Linked DNA regions of Coturnix japonica. The protein of the gene in region 2 purifies or fractionates together with the protein of the main gene of each other region. This does not show direct contact. Links are inferred from orthologs where the notes say so. Each region holds a gene or a part of one and is shown on either strand. Other genes may lie near its edges.

What was found.
Region 1: the proteins of PLCG1 (region 2) and KHDRBS1 purify together in Homo sapiens (affinity purification with western blotting; 7 studies listed by BioGRID and IntAct, with this or other methods). This does not show direct contact. The link is inferred for Coturnix japonica from reciprocal best matches to the Homo sapiens genes PLCG1 and KHDRBS1.
Region 3: the proteins of PLCG1 (region 2) and RASA1 purify together in Homo sapiens (affinity purification with western blotting; 3 studies listed by BioGRID and IntAct, with this or other methods). This does not show direct contact. The link is inferred for Coturnix japonica from reciprocal best matches to the Homo sapiens genes PLCG1 and RASA1.

Annotation. Positions count from the first base shown.
Region 1 is NC_029538.1:4,473,894-4,477,495, reverse strand, and holds part of KHDRBS1 (KH domain-containing, RNA-binding, signal transduction-associated protein 1), read right to left. Parts: intron 3,263-3,602; coding exon 3,116-3,262; intron 1,408-3,115; coding exon 1,271-1,407; coding exon of another isoform or gene 1,205-1,270; intron 368-1,204; coding exon 148-367; intron 1-147. UniProt on the Homo sapiens protein: Recruited and tyrosine phosphorylated by several receptor systems, for example the T-cell, leptin and insulin receptors. Once phosphorylated, functions as an adapter protein in signal transduction cascades by binding to SH2 and SH3 domain-containing proteins.
Region 2 is NC_029535.1:4,195,321-4,199,376, reverse strand, and holds the start of PLCG1 (1-phosphatidylinositol 4,5-bisphosphate phosphodiesterase gamma-1), read right to left. Parts: upstream 2,858-4,056; 5' UTR 2,766-2,857; coding exon 2,576-2,765; intron 1-2,575. UniProt on the Homo sapiens protein: Mediates the production of the second messenger molecules diacylglycerol (DAG) and inositol 1,4,5-trisphosphate (IP3). Plays an important role in the regulation of intracellular signaling cascades.
Region 3 is NC_029547.1:54,365,668-54,369,866, forward strand, and holds the start of RASA1 (ras GTPase-activating protein 1), read right to left. Parts: upstream 2,863-4,199; 5' UTR 2,624-2,862; coding exon 2,235-2,623; intron 1-2,234. UniProt on the Homo sapiens protein: Inhibitory regulator of the Ras-cyclic AMP pathway. Stimulates the GTPase of normal but not oncogenic Ras p21; this stimulation may be further increased in the presence of NCK1.

The DNA.
Region 1 (3,602 bases), on a different chromosome or scaffold from region 2:
GTCGCCCAGCACCACACCAGCATTCGCAGTACTGCTCCCTGCTTCAGTGCAGTACTCTTGGTTGTGGCCTTTAGGTCCAGAAGGTTCAATAACTAAACACAAGACCAGCCATGTGGAATAACACCCAAGGGTAGACAGGATCCTTACGTATTCCTCGTAGGTTTCTGGCGCGGGAGGAGGAGGAAGTGGTATCCGCTGGATGCCGGCTGCACGTGCTCTGGGTGCAGGAGCACCCCGGACTGCTGGGGGGGGAGGCACCCCACGGGCTACAGCTGCTCCCCGGGCAATGGCACCACGCACCGGGGCTCCTCGCACCATGGCCCCCCGGGGAGGAGGCGGCGGAGGGGGAGGACCGACACCACGCCCCCTGGAAGGAGAGGAGAACAACTGTGAGCTGCTATTGCTGTACAGCTGCTTACAGCAACCCTAGAACACAAGTGCTTGATAAATAAATCTGGTTACCATTCGTTAAGCTATGGATTACTTGTCAAGAATGAATTGTTAATACTGTATTGCATCAATTAAAAAAAAACAACAAAAAACACTCTTCTGGGATGGGAACACCAGTGCATTACACGCTGTGCAGGAATAAACCCAACACAGAGCATTGGCTGAGGGGTTTCTCAGAGCTCCTTTCCAGCTGCCCTCTGTCACTGACCAGCAACGACTGCCACCCCTCCAGCACTGTACAACCAGCGCTGAGGGGAGCAGGGACACTTCTGGGATGGACGGTCAGACAGAAGTACAGGCCACCCCTGTGAAATACGTAGTGAAGTGACTACAGCAACGGAGTGTTACCACCAATTCATCTCAGCGCCTCGACAGCAGTGACAGAACAACACCACCCTGTGACTTTCACAGGAAGGTCAGTTTAAACTGAAAATATGTATTCTGCTGGAGGCTGCAGAAGCAAACACAAACACAAACCATCTGCACGGCATTCTAAGGCCGACTTTCTCTTTAAAAAACAATCTTCTAGCTATTCTTTCCTCTTTTAATGGTTACTTTACGATGCTGATGATTTCAGACAGCAAAAGTAATAAGGAAGACATCCACTGAGCTAGATCATAACTACTGTAACTCCAAACATGCAGAATATTTGATGGCAGCTTGCTAGAGCAAGCCTGCAAAACAAGGCTAGAAAGCATTGGCCAAAAGCCAAGGTCAAAGTCAACAGCTGATGTACAAGAATAAGCAGCTTAACCTGATCTCGCAGCACCACTCTGAGCAAGATGCAGCATTTCCAGGTCCATGCTTTTGGGAAAGGTACCTTGGAACAGGTGGAGGTGGTGGTGGAGCTGCTCCCCTTCCCCGCACAGGGCCTCCTCGGCCACGAGTTGGCTCTGGTACACCGTTCAGGTAGGAGAGCTCCAAGAATTGCTCCTGACAGATATCATCCATCATATCCTAAAGAGGGGAGAGAGTCAGCTCCAAAGAGCAGCTAACTACAGTCTCTGCTTCAGGGTACCATAAGCCACCGTGCTGGAATAAACATGACCCAACGGTCCTAAATGAAAACCTGCTGGTTGGTTTCCCTGGGATCTTCTCAGCAGGCAGCAGCACACAAATGCCAGCTTACTCCAAAACAGCTGAGAAGAGCACAGTACTGTGTGTGTGCTGCAGATGGTCCCTGGGAAGAGGACCTGCTTGTGGGAGCTCTGGAGGCACCCGATACTCAGCACCCCAGGGACACTGGCAGGATTTATTTGCAAATGTTGGAGAGTTCAGAGGTTAAGTCAGGCAAGATATATCTCCCCTCAAGCACCCTACACTCCCATTTAAAGGCAGACAGGTGGCAATGAGCCCACATAACATAACAGCATACTGCAGTGTCCCTGACACGCTAAAGGAACAGGAGAGGATGCAGCCTGACGAAGAGTAAATAGCAATTTGCAAACGCAGGCTGTCTTCTCGCAGTCTCATGAACACAGAAAGCTTCTGCTCTGTGTGTTTTTATCACCCCAGGGGATCCAGCTTCAGGAATTAGCCGAGTCCCTGGTGAGCCATCAGAGGTCCTTGCAGCCCACCCCTCCCTGAGCACACAGAGGGGATCTTCATGCTGCCATAGCAACTCCACAAGGCAAGGAGTCTCCTGCCAGCTGCGTCTTCACAGCACTGCTGGCTTCCATAGTGACTGCTCTGACAATTTTCACAAGTTTAACACATTGTTTGAAGGCACTGATAGATAAGACTCTTTAAATAGCAAGGCTACACACTTGCCTTAGCAAGGCAGAGTTCTGTACATCCAAGGGTCTCCTTGAAGATGACCTCTTTCCTTCAAAGGCTCTTCACACAGTCATCTCTCTGTGTCAGACATATGGAAACCACCCAGCCACCATAAGCTTTGCCACGCTTCCCCATTACCTACAGCTCTTGGATTCCACCCACCCTTTTTGTTTCAGACAGAACATCTGAGCTCTCCCATCTCAGCTGGTGTGCACTCAGCTCTCTGCCTGCTAGAGCTCTGAATCACAGGCTGGACTAGCCAGAAGCTGGGAGCTCTGTGTGCTTCATCCCCATCTTGTTTTCTTCCCAATTTGGTGAGCAATACCTCCATTTCAATAATGCATGTGAGGTTCCTCCAGGCTCTGCAATTCTAGCTTTGTTGTATTACATAATGTAAGACTAACATCAAGTTGAACGTGAAGGTCTCAGAAACTTCACCAACAGAAGAAATCCCCCAAAAGACAAGAAACATCAGTTGTATACATGTCTGAGCACGAAGAGGTCCCTTCACATCTTACCAACTTAAAGCTATGGAAATATTGATTTAACAGCTGTGTCTCAGAAAATACCTACAACACTTGGTACATTGCTCCCAGGCTCCTGGGCAGCCATACTCCTCACTATCAGGTCACAGCAAACACTTCTGTGTACAGAGCTTCTGTTCTGACCAACCCTATGGAAATCTCTTCCGTGCCAAACACAGACAATTATTCACCTGCTAACACTGACATATGGAGCTGGACAAGCTTTCCATCCCATGTCCATAGTTAATACTGGAAAGAACTACCTATTTCAGGTTTGTTGTGCTACTGCCCTGGTAGTGTTCCACTTTGAGATTGATACTGCACATCTATCTCCTTAAATAAGCAAAGAGCAGCAGTATACATACTGGGACAAGGAACTTCTTGACTTCTTCCATGGCATGAGCCATCAGAGCATATGCTTCACAAGGGGGCCCAAAGACTTCAATGAAGACATGCAAATCCATATTTAGATGAGCATATTTAGGGTCTCCCCCTTTACGCAGCTCTTCCTCCTGAAAAAAAGCATATCACAGAATCCTAAATTAAACAAGATGTAGAAAAACTGCTTTTCTTTTCCTGTTTCCTAAGCCTTAGCAGGCTGAAAAAGCATTTTAGCTGTGTCTGCTCATATCGATCACGTTAACACCCTATGCACATGACTATACAGTTTAACAAAAAGCCACAAGCACACCCTGCAGGCCTCCTCCAGCTTTTCACAGCTGCCTTTCCAGGTGACTGCGATGTCAGAGTAAATGCAATGATGCCAGAAACTTTTCCCACTAAGCACACAGAAGCGATGTTCTGTTCTACACCCCCTACTGCCTGAGGTGTTCTTCACAGTGGAAGCGAAGT
Region 2 (4,056 bases):
ATCTGCAATCTGCCAGATAGGCAGCAGGCCGCCCTCCTGCTCTCCTGGAGCCATAGGACACCGATGGCCATCGCTGGTGGCCGCACGCTGCGCCCTGATAAGATAACGGGGCCGAGCGGGCGCTGTGCTGGCACTGATAGCAGCGACCACCCCGTGGTGCACACAGCAGTGCAAAGGGCAGCAGAGGTCAGCAGCAGGGGGGGGCTGCTCTGCTAATGGGGCACACACATTCCCAGTCCTGATGGGAATCCAGGGCTTTCTCGAGGTGTTTACCCCCTTCCTCCCCTCCTTTCTCTCTCTCCTATAAAACAAACATCTGCTCCAAATTTGCAGCTCGTGCTCTGAGCAAACTCTCCGAGTTTTCAGACTCGGTTCAAGGAAAACAGATCAATTAGGAGCCGGCCCGCAACCCCCCCAGGATGCAGAGTTATGAAGGCAGGACCTTCTTACATTAAAAAAGAATTACATAACACAGGAAGTAGGGGGGAAAAAAAAGTGCATAAAAGACAAAAGGCTCCGGGGATCAGCTGTGCTGAGCTTTGGGTGATTAACTAAAGGCACAGAAAATGATCAGAGCTCTTCCCACCGAAGCAGCCCGGCCCTCAGCGGGGTTATTAGCAAGAAGGTGATGCGCTGATAATGGGAGCTGGCTGAAAACATTGGGCGTAGAGACAAATATTGATGGAGAAATGGCTCCGTGTGTGTGTGTGTGTGTGTGTGTGTGTGTGCACAGATTGTGCTTTTTGTACACGATGTTGGGTTTGGAAAGGCACAGAGATGGAGCTCACAGCTTTCCAAGCGAGATGCTCCCCCCAGTCTGACCCAACCCCAGAGCAGCCCAACGAGGAGCAGAGATGGGCCCATGCACACAGAGGAGGTTCTTCATCCCGGCCCAGCTGGCGGTGCCGCTGCTGAGTCAGAGCTGCTGCTGCTGGGAGGGCAGGGGACCCGCTGGCAGTGAGTGCTGCCCATCACACAAGGTCACTCTTTATGTGACACAAGGCTCTACACAAGGGTCACCCAGCCAGGCCCCCCCTCCTCCTGGCACCAAGGTATCGCACTGACATCCCAACCAGGGTCACGCTAACAGTGACCTGCCTGAGCCTCTGTGTGTACTGAGCACCAGCACTGATGATGCCCAACCCAACATCCCTCCGACCCAACCTCACTGCTGCTGATGGCAGGACGTCCTGCACACAGAGCTTTGCTGCTGCACCGAACACTCACGGAGATGAAACTCTCCCACAGAGGGATGTGACCCAAGTCTGAGAGCTCTGTGTTACTTGTAGACGCTCCCTCATTTTGAAATGGGCCGAAGGATCATTAAGGTTTGAAAAGACCACTAAGATCCCCAGCCCGTCCCACCGTGCTCACTGAGGGCTCCATCCATGCTGTGCCATGAGCACAGAACGGCTGGTCCCAGCAGTAGAGTGCACCGCATGGGAGGGAACCTCAGCTTGGAGTTCAACAACCCCCGTTTTTCTTTAGCTCAAAACCTATGGATCTTTACAGTTATGCTTATTTGATCATCTCTGTCCCTGGGATGAACCCTCTGCTTTTTTCTGCCCCGCTCCTGGCTGTTGGCAGAGCAGCAGAACCCCACAACCACATCAACGGCACAGCTGAGGTTTGGGGGATGGATGGATCCCTTGGAAGGCACAGCCCCAGCCCCACAAAGACTCATGAGGGTCTGTCCGTGGGGAGGAGGGAGCCTGAAAGCTCCGTGGGGAGATGGGAGAGATGTTGTATCTCACCATCCCTATATGGGGCGGCCATTGGGAGACACAGCGCTGGAGATGGGGACTGAGAGCACAGAGCAGGACAGCAGCACCGGGAAGTTTCCCAGCTCTGGGCCTCCCCCCGCCCCTTCCCACCTCTCCCTGTGGTCTCCCACAGCTCTGACAAATCTCTGCCCCCGCAAAGCACCGTGTGCGGGAAAGAGCCGCCGCCAACCGCGTCCCACTGCAACCCTACAGCCCTGCAACCCTACAGCCCTGCAACCCTACAGCCCTGCAACCCTACAGCCCTGCAACTCTGCCGGGGGCTGCAGCGAACCCGGCGGTGCCGAACCCGGCGGTTCCCCATCCTCGGCCGCGCTCGGCCCCGGTTTACGCTCCTTCCATCCCATCCATCTGTTGCGCTCGGTCGCAGCACACAGGACGCTCGTGCAGCCCCTTTCGGCAACGAATCCCGCACGGAGCCGGGACGGATCCGAACCGAACCACACGGTGCGGAGGGGCTCGGGCTGCCCCAAGATGGGGGGGGGGGCACCGAAACCGGACACCGTCACGTGCGGCCGCGGGATGCGCACGGAGCTGCCCGGGGGATGGTCGGGGGGCGGAGGGTGCGGGGCTCCTTTTGTCTTTCTCCCCCCCAACCCCCTGTTCGCTTTTTCCCTCCCCTCCCCGCCGAGCCGGGGGTGGGTGAGTGGGGGCGGGAGGGTGCGGGGAGGTTCCCACCGCCCCCAGCCCGCAGGAAGCAGGAACACCTCGTCCTGCTTTTCCTGCCCGGTGCCGCGTTCCCAGGGCGGGGAGGCGCTGCTTGGAGCTGGGGGGTGGTCTCGGTTCTCACTCACCGGCTCCCTCGGTCTTGTCGGAGCCGCGGCTCCAGGTGACCTGCCGCGTTTCCAGCTTCACCTGGAAAGTTTTCCTCTCGGGCCGCTGCGACTTTTTGGAGTAGAAGAGGGTCATGACGGTGCCCACCTCCAGGCTGCGGCACAGATGAGCCGCCTCCGCCTCGCTGGGCGCCCCCGACCCCGCCGCCATCAGCGCCCGCCGCTTGCACCGCGCTGCAACGCGAACAAAGGGGAGCGGAGCGCCCGCAGCGCCGCCACCGCGCCCCGACCCGCGGCCGGGAGCTGCGGGAGGAGGAGGAGGAGGAGCCGAGGGGCGGAGCGCGGCCGACGGACGGCGCCTCCACGCGTGGGGCCCGAGACGTGCGGGGGAGGCGGGGAGCGGCTCGTGGGTGGGTGGGTTGGGGCCGCCGCTCAGCTCCGCTTCAGGCGGACCCACGCGTGGGTAAAGCTGTTGAGATGAAGCGCCTCGAGGTGGCTGTGGGCACGGAGGAGCAGGTGATGGCGGTGGCGGCTGCCCGGGGCTGCGGGCATAGAACCCCCCTGTCCCCCATCCCGGCCCCCCGGCCGCGCTCAGCTGGCTGCCAGATGTGAGCGGCCAAACGCGGTGTGGGGGCCGTAGGGGCAGAGGGCACGGCAGTGGGTCAGCGAGGGGCTCGTAGCTCGCAGTGTCCCCCGGTGTGTGGGGCGGCCATGGGGGTGGGTGGCTGCCGGCACCCTGCAAAGTGAGCTGCTGCCTCTGTGCTTGTGCTCCACCAGGCTCCAAAGGGACACACTGTGAGCCATCCCTCCTACGTGAGCGCCCAGGAATCGCTGTGCACCGTGGCAGGAACCAGCACTAAGAAGCCCACCCCAGTCTCCAGCGAACAGCAGCACTGGGGCTGTTGTAGCCCAGGATGGAAGCGGTGCCAATATGGTGCTTCTCCTCCTGAGCTCTCCAAAGCCCTGCAGGGTTACTGCAGCCCCCGGATCCCTCCAAGAACACAGGCTGCTTTTGCCTCTTGGCTCACCTGGTTTCAATTTGCAGCCTGTGAGGCCACAGGGGGGATGGGGCTGCAGCCAGCAGGGTTTGCAGCCTTCCCTGTGCTGCCCGCAGCGCAGCTGGGCTGGCAGAGCAGATCCAGTTCCAAGGTGTTTCACCCTTTCTGCTCCCATCAGTGTTCGCTGCCTCAGTTTCCCCCATGGGAGAGTCGTGGGCTCAGCCCCAGCACTCAGCAGTGTGGGATGGGAGGTTGGTTGGGGCAGGCTGCAAAAAGAGATTTCTCACATGCTGTGTTCTATGGATACAAACCTCAACTCAGCCCTGCTGCGTCCATCCCAGCCCTGCCATCCCCCAGTGCTCTGCGTGGCTGTTGGGGTGGCTGAGCCCCTCTCCTGGTTATGGGGCAGGGTTTAGGGTTAGGATGGGGCCCTGTGTGACAGACCACACGGACAGCAACGCTCCGTTAAGTTGTAGGAATTTATTTTAAATAACCTACAGTTGA
Region 3 (4,199 bases), on a different chromosome or scaffold from region 2:
CTGGCAGTCACATTTAAACAAATGAAACAGCAGTTTTGTAGTCATATCCAACTGGACAAATTTAATCTTAACTATAAATTCAATCATTATTCCTAAAGAATTATAGCAAACCTTTCCCTGTATAAGATTATAGATAATATTGATCTTTGTTTTGATAATAAATCAGGAGTTTAATTCCATAGAAGCAGATGGTACATCTACAAAGAAAGGGCCCTTCCAAAATAAAACAGCAGGACTGAGAGGATGCGATTTACTATCAGCATATGGCCAATCTGAATGACTTAAATAAGAACGATGAAAACTGACACCATAAAGGAGCTGAATGAGAGAGAAACACGGTTCTATTCAATCAATTTTTTATTGAAAAGTCACACTCCGAGGGTTATGTGGCAAAGGAAAAGCTGTTAAGAACACAGAGTAGGGAGGTACGTGTACATTTTCCACAATACTTGATTTGTTGTGAAGGATTCTCTTTTATGAAGAAAGCTCAGCTCACAGTTATGCCCTGGTTCTGCAAAGACTCCTGTCTCCCTTTTGTCTGAATAAGGTACTGTTAACCAGAGCAAATTAGGGCCTGCACAGCCTTCCCCTCAGCACACACTTGTCAAAGCACTTAAAGACAGACATCACTCCAGCACTTCAGTCACAGGACAATGCTCTGACAGCAAATCCCACTCCTATTAGCATATGTCCATATTGCATATTTAGGACCGAACAGGTGGTCATTTACAATCTGTCACCCCATTTCCTAAAGATACTTCCAAAAAGGACTCTCTCTCTCTGACTAACATAACTGGATCTAATGGAAAAAGCAGTCTGATCTATTTTCAGAGAGAAAACCAGAAGTACAGAATTGTGTGCTCCAGTGATTTGACAACCCTGAAGAAGTAATTTCACATTCGTGTGCCTCTATTTCCCTCCTGATCCTTTGTCAGAACTGCCTGATCATATTTCCAGCTCATTAGTGACGCCAGTCAAACACTGTTCAAACACTGCCTTAAGTTAGCAAACTTCTACAGAAAGTCAAGAAATCAGGAGATTACAGGGAAGACTGTCAAAGCGAGAGACATGAATTTAAAAGGGATTCATATCGGTACATTTTTATGTCCTCCTGATGACTTTAATGATTCCTGAAATCATGGAAATACACGAATGGTGCAGAAGTCTCTTAAGAGTGGTACTGGGAAAGAATGTAACAAAGAACCCAAACTCAGATGGGCTTTCAGGTCGTCCTTCTGATCCACGCCTTGAAACTATCTACCAACCCTCATGGTTTCACACAATCAGACTCCTTAAGGTTGGAAAAGCCCGCTATGAACATCTAGCCCAACTGTTTCAGTACCTTGAAACCTTACATTATCTACTATCCTCAGGAAACTTCAGGAACAACACATTTCTAGACACTACTTGGTGCAACCAATAGAGCTTCTGAAGCAACTCCATTTTTTAAATAGCCAGGCACCCTCCCAGAGAACTGTTTTCTGTACTGAAACGGGGCTTGAGGTGCTACACACAAACCTGCAGACTTCCTATGCTTCAGCCCAAAGGTTGTGCATGGAGTGCTCATTAATTACACAAACTACACACAGCATTATCTGATCCTACATTTTTCACACAATATAAATTGAGAACTGCTCTGCTCAGAGTGCGAAATTCTGTTACCAGCACCACAGGACATCCATTCACCTTAAAACAGAGATAACAGAATGAAATCCAACAGGAGGTTTGCAGGATTTTCACCTCTGCCTCCTGCCTCCATACAGACAAACCAACATCAGCCTCGCTTTAAACTGGCTGAGCAGCAAAGTCAGGCGCTATTCTGTAAGCACAGCCCGCCCACTATTTTAAAGTAGAAGAAGAATTCTACTCATTTCCAACCCGCGTTCCAGAGTGAGCAAACCTCACCCTCCCTACTCCACGAAGGCAAACACGTGCGTGCAACCTTCGTGATATTCCTGTATGAAATAACAAAAAGGCTGGGGTGTTCTTTGTGCTGTTCTTGTTGCTTTTTTTTAAGGTATAAACAACGGAATGCAAAGGGATGACACGAGGAGAGCAGCGCTTTGTACAGCGGGGAGGTCTCCGCCTGTTACAAAGTTAGCGCCGCAGTCCCAGTCTGTCCGGGAGCCGCCCGGGCCTCCCCCCGCCGCACGGACACGCGGCGCTGCGCGGAGCCGCGCTCTTCCTGCGCTCCGGGAGCGGAACCGAGGGGGGTGGGGGGCCGCGGTACTTACTGGTTGGTGGGGGGCGCGTTCAGCGGGATGGCCACCTCCTCCTCCTCGTACTCCGGCCCGTCCAGCGAGTCGCCCTCGTCCACGGCCGCCAGCCCTCCGGCCGGGGGTAGGGGCGGCGGCGGCGGCGGCAGCGGGGGGAAGGCGGCGGAGCCCGGCTCGCTGGGCGGTGGCGGGGCTCCCGTGGAGCCGAGCGCCAGCAGCCCGAGCGCCGAGCACAGAGCCGGGCCGGCGCCCGGGCTGTCCCCGCCGGAGCCGGAGCTGGAGCCGGGCGCGAAGGGGCCCTGCGGCCCCGGTGCTTTGCCTCGGCAGTGCCCCGGCTCGGCGGCGGCCGCCGTCCCGGCCGAGGTAACCGAACCGCCGTCCTCAGCTCCGGCCTCGGCCGCCATCATGTTGAGCCTCGCCCCCCCTCCCGTCCGCCGCTCGCCCTCCCGCCCGCAGCCGCCGCCGCCGCCGCACGCCGGGGAGGTGGCGACAAAGGGGCCCCGGCCCACCCCGCCCCGGCGGGGAGCGGAGCCGGGACGAGGGCAAAACTGTCCCGGCGGAGACGGGCCGCGAACAATACCCGGCTGGGCGGGGGCTGCGCGCTCACGGCGGCTCCGCAGGGCCCCGGCGCGGCTGCCTCGGCCCCGCCGGCCGCCAGGGGAGCGGCTCGGCCGCCCCGCGCTGTGCCCGCCCCCGTGCGCCCGCCAGCCGGGAGGGGGGAAGGACGGAGGCGGTGGGACGGGCCGCGCATGTGCGCCGCTCCCCAGCCTCGTCCCTATGAGCGCGTGCGTGGAGCTGGGCGGGGCAGGAGGGGGAGCGGCCGCACCGCGTGGGGGAGGAAAGTGCGGGGTAGGAGCGGCCCGAGCCGCCATGGTGTGCGGCCAAGGGGCGGCCATGGTGCGCCCTGAGGCTGAGCTGCCTTTGGGAGGGAAAATAGAAGAAAGTATGGGGAGTAAAAGCCAGGAGAGGCGGCAGGTGGCGCGGGGGCACGGCGGGAAGGGACGGCGCGATCGGGGCGTGCTGAGCCCGTGCTTTGTGTGTCCCCGTTATAGCTGCACCGCCGTGTGCTGCGGGAGGAGAACAGCGCATCGCCTGCAGCCGCTGTGTGACCGCACTGCCGCCCGTACTCCATTGCCGGTTACTCCGTTACCGTGCTGATACTTCTCTCATTATCTTCTTTTTTTCTTCTTCTTCTTTTTTTCCCTCCCCCCCCATAATAAAAGAGCTGACAAATAGCAGCACGTTGACACTTGCACGCCTCTCCAAAGTTCTCAGGAGGCATCTAAACATTCAGGTTTTCAAAGCCTTGTGTTACCAAAAGAATTAAGTGAATTTCTCCCCAGGCCACTAAAACAAACTCCTACTCGCGCTTCCACCGCCCTGCAGACAAACCTCCTTTTATCTGCCGAAACGAACCTTCCTATCTTGCCTTCTGAAGGCAGGATCCCATTCCAGGTCCTGCAGCGCTGCGAGTACCCGTGGGACTCTGCTGGGCTCGTGCCCGGTGTCAGAGCAGACGCTGTCTGCGTCCCTGGGCTCACAGAATGGCAGCGCGTTCATGCCCTGCTGTGCTGGTAAAGAAATTACAGTCTCAACAGCCATCTCTTACGGGCTTGGTTTCCACGTTGCCATATTTCAATCGGATATGTAATTCCACGTTGTCTTGCAGCCCACTGGCTCCGTGGGCTTCTGTTTAATGCTGTTTGCTTTCTCCTACGGGTTTTTAAATAAAAGGATTTCAGCACAGTCTTGTTGTTAAAATGATATTCCTAAACATAGAGCTGCAGTGTAAATATTTATGATTGCTTCGACGAAACACGCTTTTTTAACTGACTTAAAGGGGCAACAGCATGCGCATATAAGCATGGAGACCAGGGCATCTGTGCTCTGAATTTCCTGCAGCACTCCTCCAATAGATTTAATCTGGGTAGAGCAGTTCTAAGTGTGGCAAGGGTTCCACAGAAAGGTAATTTCTTGTGAGAC